3 linked regions of the Drosophila melanogaster genome follow. Each later gene encodes a partner of the first gene's protein in a complex. Each region holds a gene or a part of one and is shown in the gene's direction. Other genes may lie near its edges.

Evidence for each region. The genes of interacting proteins can lie anywhere in the genome.
Region 2: NC2beta (region 1) and Mocs2B share a complex: the UniProt entries of both Drosophila melanogaster proteins name them as parts of the ada2a-containing (ATAC) complex.
Region 3: NC2beta (region 1) and Ada2a share a complex: the UniProt entries of both Drosophila melanogaster proteins name them as parts of the ada2a-containing (ATAC) complex.

What each region holds. Positions count from the first base shown.
Region 1 is NT_033779.5:15,005,990-15,009,092, forward strand, and holds NC2beta (negative cofactor 2beta), read left to right. Parts: upstream 1-1,823; 5' UTR 1,824-1,928; coding exon 1,929-2,480; 3' UTR 2,481-2,549; downstream 2,550-3,103. Other genes in the region: DCTN5-p25 (dynactin 5, p25 subunit), read left to right, coding at 1-271, 329-550; Ankrd49, read right to left, coding at 656-1,167, 1,217-1,352; THG (tRNA-histidine guanylyltransferase), read right to left, coding at 2,693-3,103. UniProt on the Drosophila melanogaster protein: Bifunctional basic transcription factor. Activates transcription of DPE (Downstream Promoter Element) containing promoters while repressing transcription of promoters which contain TATA elements.
Region 2 is NT_033777.3:25,125,084-25,129,194, reverse strand, and holds Mocs2B (molybdenum cofactor synthesis 2B), read left to right. Parts: upstream 1-1,835; 5' UTR 1,836-1,848; coding exon of another isoform or gene 1,849-2,121; 5' UTR 2,122-2,131; coding exon 2,132-2,260; intron 2,261-2,321; coding exon 2,322-2,628; intron 2,629-2,752; coding exon 2,753-3,028; intron 3,029-3,092; coding exon 3,093-3,361; intron 3,362-3,420; coding exon 3,421-3,543; 3' UTR 3,544-3,563; downstream 3,564-4,111. Other genes in the region: Clbn (caliban), read right to left, coding at 1-462, 534-1,263, 1,329-1,384; Mocs2A (molybdenum cofactor synthesis 2A), read left to right, coding at 1,849-2,121; vig2, read right to left, coding at 3,839-4,111. UniProt on the Drosophila melanogaster protein: Catalytic subunit of the molybdopterin synthase complex, a complex that catalyzes the conversion of precursor Z into molybdopterin.
Region 3 is NT_033777.3:18,252,295-18,257,392, reverse strand, and holds Ada2a (transcriptional adaptor 2a), read left to right. Parts: upstream 1-1,905; 5' UTR 1,906-2,012; coding exon 2,013-2,076; intron 2,077-2,156; coding exon 2,157-3,018; intron 3,019-3,076; coding exon 3,077-3,839; 3' UTR 3,840-3,937; coding exon of another isoform or gene 3,938-4,118; intron 4,119-4,180; coding exon of another isoform or gene 4,181-4,355; 3' UTR 4,356-4,550; downstream 4,551-5,098. Other genes in the region: Tgs1 (trimethylguanosine synthase 1), read right to left, coding at 1-1,185; moi (modigliani), read right to left, coding at 1,182-1,521, 1,581-1,777; Polr2D (RNA polymerase II subunit D), read left to right, coding at 2,013-2,076, 3,938-4,118, 4,181-4,355; CG12320 (uncharacterized protein), read left to right, coding at 4,694-5,098. UniProt on the Drosophila melanogaster protein: Component of the histone acetyltransferase (HAT) complex ATAC; predominantly involved in acetylation of histone H4, including at Lys-6 (H4K5ac) and Lys-13 (H4K12ac).

The sequences.
Region 1 (3,103 bases):
GGTGCTCTGTGGTTCCCAAAACATTATTTTGAACGGCAAGGTGATCGTACAGAGCGGCGCCATCATTCGCGGCGATCTGGCCAATGTCCGGACGGGAAGATATTGTGTGATTGGCAAGAACTCCGTCATCCGACCGCCGTACAAACAATTCAGCAAGGGAATCGCCTTCTTTCCCATGCACGTCGGTGAGCATGTTTTCGTTGGCGAAGGAGCAGTCGTCTCGGCGGCCACCATTGGATCCTATGTGTACATCGGCAAGAATGCCATCATAGTAAGCTATTACTTATTGTTATACCCTTGTAATCCATTTACTTTTACCATCTTTCAGGGCCGTCGCTGTGTTTTGAAAGACTGCTGTGTAATTGAGGATGGGGCTGTCCTGCCGCCAGAAACTACCGTGTCCAGCTACATGCGTTACACGGCGAGGGGAACCATCGAGGGTGGCCAGGGCAATCCGTATTTTGTGCCCGCCGCCATGCAGGACGAGATGATCAACTACACTAAGTCATTCTACGAGCATTTCGTGAGGGCTCCAGCGCCAGCCAGCTGAAAATCGTGGTGTCTACCAATTCCATCGACAGAAAACATTATTTATGAAATAAACATATTATATTAGTTATTCTATAAGTATGCGCATAGTTTGACTATTAAGTGATTAATCTATCAGTCCCGTTTCGCAGTCGTAGGCTTCCTCGCCGGACTCGAAAATGGGAAAACTCATGCCAGTACGACGGGCAATCACCGAGGCCAGTTCCTCGGAGTTGTTCTCCTTGCGCGGCTGGATGTATCGGTCCAGCAGAAGGACCGTGGCCGTATTCCGACAATTGGACACAGTGGCGGTTATGTGAAGCGGCGTCTGCTTGCCGTCCGATTCCGCATTTACATCGGCGCCAAACTGCAGCAGCAAATGGGCGCAATCCGCATTGTTCCACTTGCAGGCGGAGTGCAATGGCGTCCATCCCAGCTCCGTGCGGGCGTTGGGATTGGCATGGTACTGCAGCAGCAACTTGGCCATATCCACAAAGTTATTATAGGCAGCTCGGTGCAGCGGCGTGTATCCGTCGTTATCCTTGGCGTTCACGGTGTCTGCGTCCAGTTTTAGGATTTCCCGCACCTCGCTGATGCGGTTCTCGTTCACCGCCCACAGAATCATGCGTTCAATGCTGCCTATGATGATGTTTAATTAAACTATTTCTCTAAAATGTATTCTACTTACTTTGTGGGTTCTTGTCCTCTTCGATCAGTTCGTCGGCATCGTCGTCCCAGCCGCTCACGAACATTCCGCGCGGCACTTTGGCGTGGCGCAGCTTCTCCACCTGTGATTTTTCATCATCGGAATCGTAGTCCCCCATTTTGTGGTAATATATTAATAATAAGCCGGAATTTAAACAGCTCAACTTTTTGTTTTCTATTTCTCAAAGTGACCGTTGCTTAGCCGCTTAAGTACACTTAAAAAAATACTAAACACTTAAAAATATACTAAACGAAGAGTGGAGTTTTAAAAAGAACAGTACATTTGGTTTTTCAAATAAAAAAAAAAAAACTATTTATATAAATAATGGTAGGAATTATAAAAAAATTATTCTTTTATTTGAAAAGTCTGCCATTTAAAAAAAGGCTGTATTATTTATAATATTCATCAAAATCAAATTAATCAAAGATTATTAAGCCATTAAATTTGTGTTGAATACATAAATGATATACATCATTTTATATCATCATTTATATATTTTATTTTTAGCTATATATGCTTTATATAGTTCATTTCAATCAATTAATGATTTCATTTATTTACAAAAACAATAATTTTTCGATTACATTTTTCTGTTAGCAGTAAACGGCCACTCTAGCACACTATACTAGTAAATCCGAGAAAAACATCTGCTTCCAAGTTTGTTTGTTTGTTTGTTCCTTGAAACCAGGACGCCATGTCGAATCCGCAGGAAGAACTACTGCCGCCCAGCGCCGAGGACGACGAGCTGACCCTGCCACGGGCCAGCATCAACAAGATCATCAAGGAGCTGGTGCCCACGGTGCGGGTGGCCAACGAGAGTCGCGAGCTGATACTCAACTGCTGCTCAGAGTTCATTCATCTGATCAGTTCGGAGGCCAACGAGGTGTGCAACATGCGCAACAAGAAGACGATAAACGCAGAGCACGTCCTGGAGGCGTTGGAACGCTTGGGTTTTCACGACTACAAACAAGAGGCGGAGGCCGTTCTGCACGACTGCAAGGAGGTGGCAGCCAAGCGAAGGCGCCAGAGCACGCGCCTAGAGAACCTGGGCATTCCGGAGGAGGAGCTGCTGCGCCAGCAGCAGGAGCTGTTCGCCAAGGCACGCGAGGAGCAGGCGCGCGAGGAGCAGCAGCAGTGGATGAGCATGCAAGCGGCAGCAATGGTGCAGCGACCACCGCTGGCAGACGGCTCCGTTGCCAGCAAGCCAAGTGAGGATGACGATGACGATGACGACGACGACTACTAGTAGGAAATAGTCTTTCTATGAGCTTAGTGTAGATTTAATCTTAAAATATATGCCATAAGTTGAACTTTCAACTATTAGCTACTCTTCATTACGGATCATCCGTTTGTCCTTCACTCCAGCAGCCTGGGCACCGCATCCTCAATCTCCGAAACGACTTCCTTAGATGTATCGTAACTTTAATCTTTAAAAATGCAAGACTATTCGTTATTATATCAGCTGGTACCAGCCAGATTTTGTGGCTCCTCCGCCTCATTGTCATCCTTGCCATTTATTTGCATCTCCACCAATCGGGGAAAAGTTTGTGGTGCGTCGTATGTGCCTGGCACATATTTTCCCAATATTTCGGTGTGTTCCTTCCAGAACTGCGAAGATATCAGATCCTCGTGCAGCGGCACCACGGCCTGCCTGCTCTTCTCACCCAATATCACGCGTTTTCTCAGCAGAATCGTTCCCTTTCTGTACATTGCCGGCAGATTGTTGTAATTTATCCCGAATTCCTGGAAGAGCAGCTCATTTTTGTCCGCCGAAAAGGTGCCACGGAGTTTCGCCTCGGCTTGCTGGTTCGTCAGGCCTTTTTCCAAAACGAGTTTCCAAAAGGCGGTATTGTACAGGTTGTTCACATG
Region 2 (4,111 bases), on another chromosome or scaffold:
CTGTGCCTCCTTTACAAGCTCGTGAATATCCGGCCAGGATAATTGACTGGCAATAGCTGACTGAACAGCCCGAATTGCATTATCCACCAGACTTTGATTGGACGTTATTAGCTCTGCTTTCTTTCTGTCCACATCTTGGACTTTTGTCAATTCCTCTAGACGCTTTGCGTGGTCATTCTTGACATTAGACAGCTTTTTTAGTGCCTCACGCTCTTGCTGTAGCGTTTTCATGTCAATCTTTTGCGACTCTTGCGTAGAGTAAAATTCATCAACGGCTTCCATAAAGGACTCAAATGTGGCCTTTTCAAAGTTTTTGAATTGAATAAAGAGGTAGGGATGAAATTCGATGTTTCTAAAGAAAAACTCCACCGTTCCATTCTCTGTAGGCTTTTCCTCTTTAACTTGAATAATGTAGCCTTTACTTTTTCCACTATTTCCCTCAGCTATAAGCTCTTGAGCATCCTAAAAGATTGCACAGAACGTTTTATTTACTTTAACAGCAATAATAAATATTTCCACGATATTGTTCTTACCTTTACTGCTTGCTGAAGAATTGGCAAGTCATTAACCATGTCAAATGGTTTCTGTTCCAGTTTCGTATTCTGTTGCTTCTTACGTTGCTTTTTACCGCCCTTCTCCGGCTTGTCCTCCGCCTCCGGCGTTTCTTCCGTTGTTTCCTTTTTGATAACGTGATTGTCCAAGCCGTGTGAGAGGAGAACATGCTCTATAACTGCCGGACCACAGTCCAAGTTGGGTGTTAGAATCTGTCGCAAATAGTCGCCGTTCCTGGCATTTTCCAACAGCTTAACCAAAGCTTCCAGTTCCAGTTCCTTCGTGGGCTGTTTGGCCCGTTCCACGGGATATTTCTCGCGCATGGCGAAGCGCAGGTTCTCGCCCTCCGTATGCGGACGCAAAATATATAACGTGGTCAGCTCGTAGTCGGTGAGGATCACATTACCACGATCGTAGAGCTCCAAAATAACATGGTAGGCGGCATCACCGGTACCGAACTGAAAGTCAACAATACGATCGCTACCCATCTGTTGAACCTTTTCCAGGCGCTTGTTCTTCAAGTGCTTCCTCAACTTCATGCTGAAACCGGACGGAGCCATGTTCTTGGGCCATTCGAACCTAGTGGTATGGAATCTTGTACCAGATTCTATTAGCAGAGTGACCTTCTCCACTGCACCGGTCCCTTGCATCCGGAAGAGGTAGGTCTTGTTATCCACGTCATAGATCTGATTCACTCGCCAGCCGACCAGCCTGGAATATAAATGTAGATGTACCATTATTCCTGGGCATCGGAATTATCCGGATTTTTTACATACTTTTGCAGTTCCGCCACTCCGCAGATTATATCGAAGGTATTGAAACGTGTCTTCATGGTTCTTTATGGAAAGTTGACGATGTCAACACGGAAAGTGAAGAAAAAAGAATCTATCTGGCAACTTAACTTATCATTAAATATTCACAAGTTCGCTATCTACGTTAGATAAGTTAAATTAGTTTAATAGGGAATAATAACAATTTTATTCACTTGCGAAATTAAGTATCGGTGTAAATTGCGATGGACGAACTTTAAACAAAATATATCGATTGTATGCTGTTGATGATTCGGATTGTCAGAATGAATTCGCTGTATAATTACTATGTATTAAATATTTGTATTGTTTATGCAATGAGTAAGAAGCTTCTTTGATTTATCTAAAAAGTTATTAAGCATTTAATAAAGTTTCAGTCAGCTGTTTCCCTTTCCGTGGACTATTCCACTTCGTTCCGATAAGAAATCGATACATAGGTAGTCGGAAAATGGAACTGCTGTGTCATCGCCAATCTTCATTTGTAAATATGAATGCGGATGGACCTGTTGTCAACGTGCACGTGTTGTTCTTTGCTAAATCCCGTGAATTAGCAAACACTCCCCGGTCGACAGTGGAAGTTCCTACTGAAATTACTGCCACCGAACTGCTGGACCACCTGGTGTCCAAATTTGGCCTGACCTCCATCCGGGATAACTTGATTTTGGCCCACAACGAGTCGTACATTGACAACCTGAGTGATAGAATTCTGTTTAAGGAAGGAGACGAACTCGCCATCATACCGCCACTGAGTGGAGGCTAACCTTTCCGCCATGGATCACGTGAAATTGGTAAACGACCCCATAGATATCGCTCATATCCATCAGTTGCTGGCCGATGAAGGCTGTGGAGCCTCATCCGTTTTCGTGGGCACTACGCGCGATAATTTTCAAGGGAAAAAGGTGGCTTCATTATCTCAATCAATTGATTTCATTGATTCATTTGTACTTTTCGACCTTTCAGGTGCTGTCATTGGCGTACGAGGCCTACGATAGCATGGCACTCAAGGAAATGAATAAAATATGCTCAGATCTCCGATCTAAGTGGCTCGATCTGAAGCACATAGTCATATATCATCGATTGGGAACAGTGCCCGTATGCGAAGCCAGTGTAGTTATAGCCGCCTCGTCACCACATCGTTCTGAGGCCTTAGAATCAGTATCTTTTGCAATAGACCAGCTAAAAACTCGGGTTCCCATCTGGAAAAAGGAAATCTACGACGGCGATAACGACAGCGAATGGAAGGAGAACAAGGAGTCCATCAGGCCTAGTAAGATCTTATGAGTAGCCAGCATGACATGTATTCTTATTATTTGTACACTTGTAAATATAATTAACAATCGAGCGTTTACGATTTTATTGGCTTCTCTCTCATCTGTGCATGTACATTGTAGAGAAATCGAAAAGTGGCTTCAACTACGCCGCTTGTCCCTGCAAAGTTGAGGAGTCACATGACGTCCCGCGAACTCTGGTGCAAATTAGAGTTAATGACGCTGAGTTAACCAAGCGTTTAGAATGTTTTGTCAACAGAAAACGAGACGAAATAAACTCACAAAATGTAATTGACTTCAAATCGTCTTTTGTCAGCTCAGACCAAAACTTGAGCGATTCCTGCGCTCGAACGCAGAGCACAATTATTAAGCAGGAGCAGTCAAATTGCCATTTAAAAGGTGGGTAAACGATGCTCTATTTTCATAACTATAGCCACTTTGGTCTACAAACAACCTATCACAGTCCGACGAGTAAACAACCGATGCGGACCTCAGCAAATGGAAATGCGACCCAACTACGAACTCGAACTGAATAAACTAATGGGATCGCGTGACGGTCAAACGGATCCAACCAAAGAAATGAGGAAATCGCTACCCAATTCACGACTACAGGCAATTGAATCGTACATGGGTCTAACCACCGACAACGAGGAAAACATTTTCAGTAGAATCAAACGAGTGGAAAATAGACTGCTGCAACTGGAGTCCATTTCGCCCGAGTACAGACACTTCGTAGGTTCTTAAAACATTTCCTGTAATTGCAGTTCTAAAAAAATTCAATCTATTCTCAGACCAAACGTGAACCGTCATCTATGGAAGCCGCGCCGCCGAAGAAGAGCCGAAAGAAATCGTATTCGGCGCAAGAATTAAGTGCATTCATTCAAAAGATTAAGGATGGCAGCGAATTAAGCTAATAAAAACCTAATTAATTATTATTCCTTGGTTTGTAATTGATGTAAATTTATTTCAACATTCCAACTATTTGTAATAGTTTTTTTTATGCGTAAATGATGAGAGTGAAAAATGCAAAAATTTTTGTTTACAACTAAGGAATATGGATAAGCGTGGCTGATTTGTTTCTGTTTATTAATCGGTCGTCAAGCTTCATAGATCGCGCCCGAAAATCTAATGGTTATTTGTTAACCGAAGGACCAGCTTACTAATTATTTAATACGCGAAATTATTAAATCTTATTGTTGTTCTCAACTCCTAGCACAGAGTGGGGAATTGAGCTTCATCGTCAACCTTCAGTGGCTTCTGGGCGGAGCGGCGTTTCTCTCCGAATCTGTTGTTGTCTTGTCTGTTTTCATAGCCGTTGCTGGGTCCGTTGTTAAAGCGGGGACCACGGAATCCCTCTCCACGCGGTCCGTCATTGCGGTAGCCTTCTCCACGCGGTCCCTCATTGCGTGGACCCTCTCCGCGAGGTCCGTCGTTGCGATAACCACCTTCTCCGCGAGGTCCGTCATTGCGATAGCCACCTTC
Region 3 (5,098 bases), on another chromosome or scaffold:
GGGCAGGAGACCTGTTTCGATATCAAAGGTGGCCTGCTTTTGGTAGTCAGGACCACCCCACGGAGGGCTCAGGAAAACCACATTTGGGCGCAGCTTTGTGCTGGCCGCAAACTGCAGAAAATCGGCGTGGATAAACTCGATCTTATGGGCCACACCATAAATGCCGGCATTATGCTTGGCCATGGCCAACTTCTCGGCATCGATGTCCACAGCAATTACGCGTCCACAGGTGTTTGCAAACTGAATGGCATTGCCGCCGCATCCACAGAAAGCATCTACGATCACGTCGCAGGCCAGTCGTCGGGCCGTTTGTTTGGCAATCTTCTCGGGTGTCACCGAGAACCAGCTCTCGCGGTCCAGCCGAATGCCCTGATCGAAGCGGGAGAACAGCGAGAATCGCTTGACCCAGTACTTGACCATTTTGTTGTTATCCTCTTGCATGCACTCTGGCATCCTGGCCTTGAGTTTTTTTATTTGCCTTTGCCGTCGTTTTTTCTTTTTAACAGAACCGCTCTGAACGCCGTGCAGAGCCTCGTTTTCGTTGTTCTCCATGGTCAACAGATCATGATCGTCCTCGCTATCGCTGCTAGATAGTTCGTACTGTGTCTTTCTTTCCTTTCTATAATTAATTATATCTGCCTTCGACGCAAATGATGTTGGCAATCCGAGAAGGCGCAGCTGTTGTTCCTCGTCACAATCCTCGGGATCGTCGTTGGCAGTCAAGTATGATTCGTCCTCCTCTTTCTCTGTGACCCTTTGCTGTTTCGATTTTATTGGCTTATTTGTAAGGCTTAGGTTCTGCAAGTCCTCCTCAACATCTTCTGAGTTTTCAGCGACGTCAAGGCCAAATGATTTGGCCAAATCGTGTTGGTAGTTCTCAAAGGCACAGCTAAATATATACCAGAACTTTTCACTGTAATCGCTGGCGTGCTTCTCCCACAGTTCCTGCCAAAGGCCTTGCTCCTCCGACGAAACCACCTCGATAAGATCTTTGTATTCGGGAAACCGCTTGTGCCACTTTTGCTCGAGCAGCTCATGCCCCTCACGCTGCCAGAATTCTTTCCAGGTAACGTTTTGAATGCCCCCCCAATTGCAATTATTCCAGTCGAAATCGTTACCAAAGAGCTGACTGAATATATAGAACTGCGGATTGGTTCGCGAGGTGGTCAGGTGGTGTGTGTTCATTTCTCGATCAGACTTCTCATCTCCAGCCTGCGAGTCAGCAAGTCCTCGGCTCTGTCGATGACCTGGATGTACCATAAGTCGATGGCCGGTCTGTAGGTGGCAAGTAGCGCGCTGAGATACTGTTTTTGGGCCAACGGATCGTTGGACAGACTATTGATCTTGTCGTAGACACCGCCGGCGGTCAGTTTGGCACCTTTGGGATGCTGCACATTATGTAGCACCACTTCACCACGCACAATGCAGTAGCGGCCGGTACTCACGCGATTTTCGACGACTTTGTCATGGGTAAGGCCAAGAATAAGCAAGGATACGGTGCCCTCGCCCAAGGAGTACTTCCTGAAAGATGCAGCATCATTGGTAAGGACCGGATGGATAGGTAATATAGAAAAACTTACTTTGGCAAACACTTAACGCGCACGTTTTCTAGGCGGTACTGATTCGCCTTGAACGCCAGACGTCCAATTAATGCGCACTGACCGTAGTGCAGGTTGTGGTAGGAAGTTTCCAGCTCCAGTTCCTCCACCAGCAGGGTCTTGAAGAAGTAGCAGTACTTGGGCGCTCTCGAGGTAGAGGCTTCTGGCACCAGGGACATAACTCTCTTGGAAAAAAACCAAGAATTCCGAACAAAATCAAAACACCCGGAATGATAAACTCAACATGCTTGCTAGTGTGACCAACGTATCTACGCACGATGCGACCCACCTATCGATAGCTTCTTCGCCAGTTATAGCCCTGCCTTTCTCATCACTAAAAACAGCGACATTTTATTGTGCAAATTAGAATTTCTTAATATAAACTTTAACAAACTGAGCAGTTCTTAGCTCACTATGTCTTTTATGAACCCCGTGGATATGGTGGATGAGGACGCCGCCGACCTGCAGTTTCCCAAAGGTAACCAACGCCCTACACCAACCGAAATGCAACTTACAAGTGAAACTGGCTGAAACCTTTGGCTTCGAGTGCCCCAAAAGTGGCACTCCTCCACATTTTTACCACACTGAATTGCCTCTTTGCAGTTGAGCCACTGGGGCCACAGGTTAAGCGGTTCATCCATGCACATCAGAATGAACACACCAGGAACTCCATGGTTTTGTATAATCCGCACACGTTGCACAGGTACTTGGAGGAGATGGAGGAAAAGACGCGGGACCAGAATAGCAGTGTTCCATCGGCTACAAAGGATGCCAATCGGTGTGCCACATGTCGCTGCAGTCTCACAGAGCCGTACATTAAGTGCTCCGAGTGCCTCGACACCCTGCTCTGCCTGCAATGTTTCTCACGTGGAAAGGAGGCCTTTTCTCACCGCAATAACCACGCTTACATCATAGTCCGCGACAACATACAGGTTTTCGCCGATGAGCCACACTGGACGGCACGGGACGAGCGCATACTGCTGAAAACACTTCGCACCCACGGCTATGGCAACTGGGAGGCGGTCTCCCAGGCTCTGGACCAGCGCCACGAACCCGCAGAAGTGCGTCGTCACTACCACGATTGCTACTTTGGCGGGATATTCGAGCGGCTCCTTAATCTGAAGCATGCGAGGGACAGCTATGTGCCCGAGCGAATGCCGTATGTCTTCAAAATGCGCAGCTTGGATCCACCACGTCATGACGACATCGCCTCCATGCAGTTCAGACTAAGCGCAGGTTACCGCTGTGCAAGAGGAGACTTCGATACTCCGTACGACACCTCAGCAGAGAGTCTGCTATCTATTATGGTGGATCATAGGGGCAGGGATGACGACAACGAGGCGTCTGAGAGTGAGTTTGAGCGCGAAGTGACAGAGGAATTGCAACTCGGACTAGTTCGGGCATACAACAATCGCCTCAGGTATGATCTTATAACAGAAAGCTACTAAAAAAAATCTAATATGCATATTTACTCACAGAGAGCGCCAGCGTCGTTACAAGATAATGAGGCAACACGGTCTCATAATGCCCAATCGCACCGTCAGCTGGATTTCCAAGTACGTGCACGCCTTTGGCAGCGATGCGAGTTGCATGCGTTTCTTGGGCTTCATGCAGATCTGTCCTGACCCCATTAAGTTCGATATGCTGTTGGAGTCTCTGCGTTATTATCGGGAGCTGCATAGCCAGCTGCACAAGCTATACGATCTGCGGGAGCACGGCGTTCGAACTCTTTCCGGAGCCAAATTATATGCCCGCTTGAGCAAAGAACGTCAGCAGGCTCAGCGAGATTACAGCAGGCTGAAGCAAACAGATGCTTTCGACTGGCAGCAATTGGTGCAGCATTACGAGAGCAACAGGAGCGGTGATCCTGGTCCCCTGGCCATTAACTCAAAGTTATATGTGATGAACACGCGTCGAAAGGCCAGTCCCATTGAGATTGGAGGTGGGAAACACTTTACTCATTGCCTGACACCAACTGAATATAATTTTTCTTTGATCCCAGATCTGCCTGGTTACTCCAAACTGGATGATGGCGAGCGAAAGTTGTGCAGTGTGGCTCGTCTGGTTCCGCAGTCGTATTTGGACTACAAGAATCAACTCGTTACGGAGCAAGCAAAGCTCGGATATCTACGACTGGCCGATGCGCGACGTCTCATCAAAATTGACGTGAACAAAACGCGTCAGATCTACGATTTTCTGCTGGAACATGGCCATATCAGCAGACCACCGTCCTATGGCTAGGGCTAATTTTTTCTCCAATGTTTCACTTGTAAATTTCCTGAATGTCGTCAAGTAACTAATTCAAGAAAAAAAAACCCTTTCGTTTCTCTTTGTTTCAGAGTTCGAAAATGCCGAGACGCTGCTGATATCGGAGGTGCACATGCTTCTCGATCACCGAAAGCGACAAAACGAATCCGCCGACGAGGAGCAAGAGTTCTCCGAGGTCTTCATGAAGACGTACGCCTACACGGATAGTTTTCGAAAGTTCAAAAACAAGGAGACCATAATGTCTGCGCGAAGGTAATGTAGCAAAACCGAACAAAGCACGTACGAGTAGTAATATTCAATTATTTCAAATTCAGCTTGCTGATGCAGAAAAAGCTGCACAAATTCGAACTGGCGGCACTGGGTAATTTGTGTCCGGAGGCGCCCGAGGAGGCCAAGGCGCTGATTCCTTCACTAGAGGGTCGCTTCGAGGATGAGGAGCTGCGCCAAATACTCGACGATATCGGCACTAAACGCAGCTTACAATACTAATTACTACTACGTATAAATATAGTTTAGATATAAAGTCATGGTCCACTTACACAATAAAGTGAAGAACAGCAAGAATTTTAAGTAAATGCAGAATATACACTGTAACAAAAATCAACAAAGTCTAAATACAATGTAATTATATCAAACAAAAGATTTACTTAAAAAAAAGTATATATAAATTGAATTTGCCGCTTGAAAGAATTGTTTGTCTAGTGTTGCCAGACTGCTCACATGAAAGAACTTATCGAAATAGCCGTCACATCTGGCAACTTGCTGAAAGGCCCGCACTTGCAATTGTTTTCTTTTTCCTAATAATTGCAAGCGAACAATATTTCACAATGAACAAGGACAACTCCAGCATGAAAATGGATCCGCAGCTAGCCCTACGCCTCCTGGCTGATGGCGGAGTGCTGGTCATCGCCGGTGTACCCGAGGGCACGGAATTCGGCATTGATCTTTGTGCCTACACCATTGGTCCGGATTTCCGAGGCGTCAAGATGATTCCACCCGGAGTCCACTACGTATGGTGCTCCTCCCGTGGTCCCTACGGCGATGCAGCCCCTCGTGTTGGATTCGTGCACTTCTTCCATCCGAATGAGATTGTCGTACGAGAGTGGGACCACGAACTGGAGGAATTGCGCCCGCGGAGGATTGCCGAACCGGAAGTGGAGCGAGACCGAATACGCAAAAACCTAGCCCAACTGGAGCGCGTGCTGGCGCCGTACGACTATCGTTACGTGGTC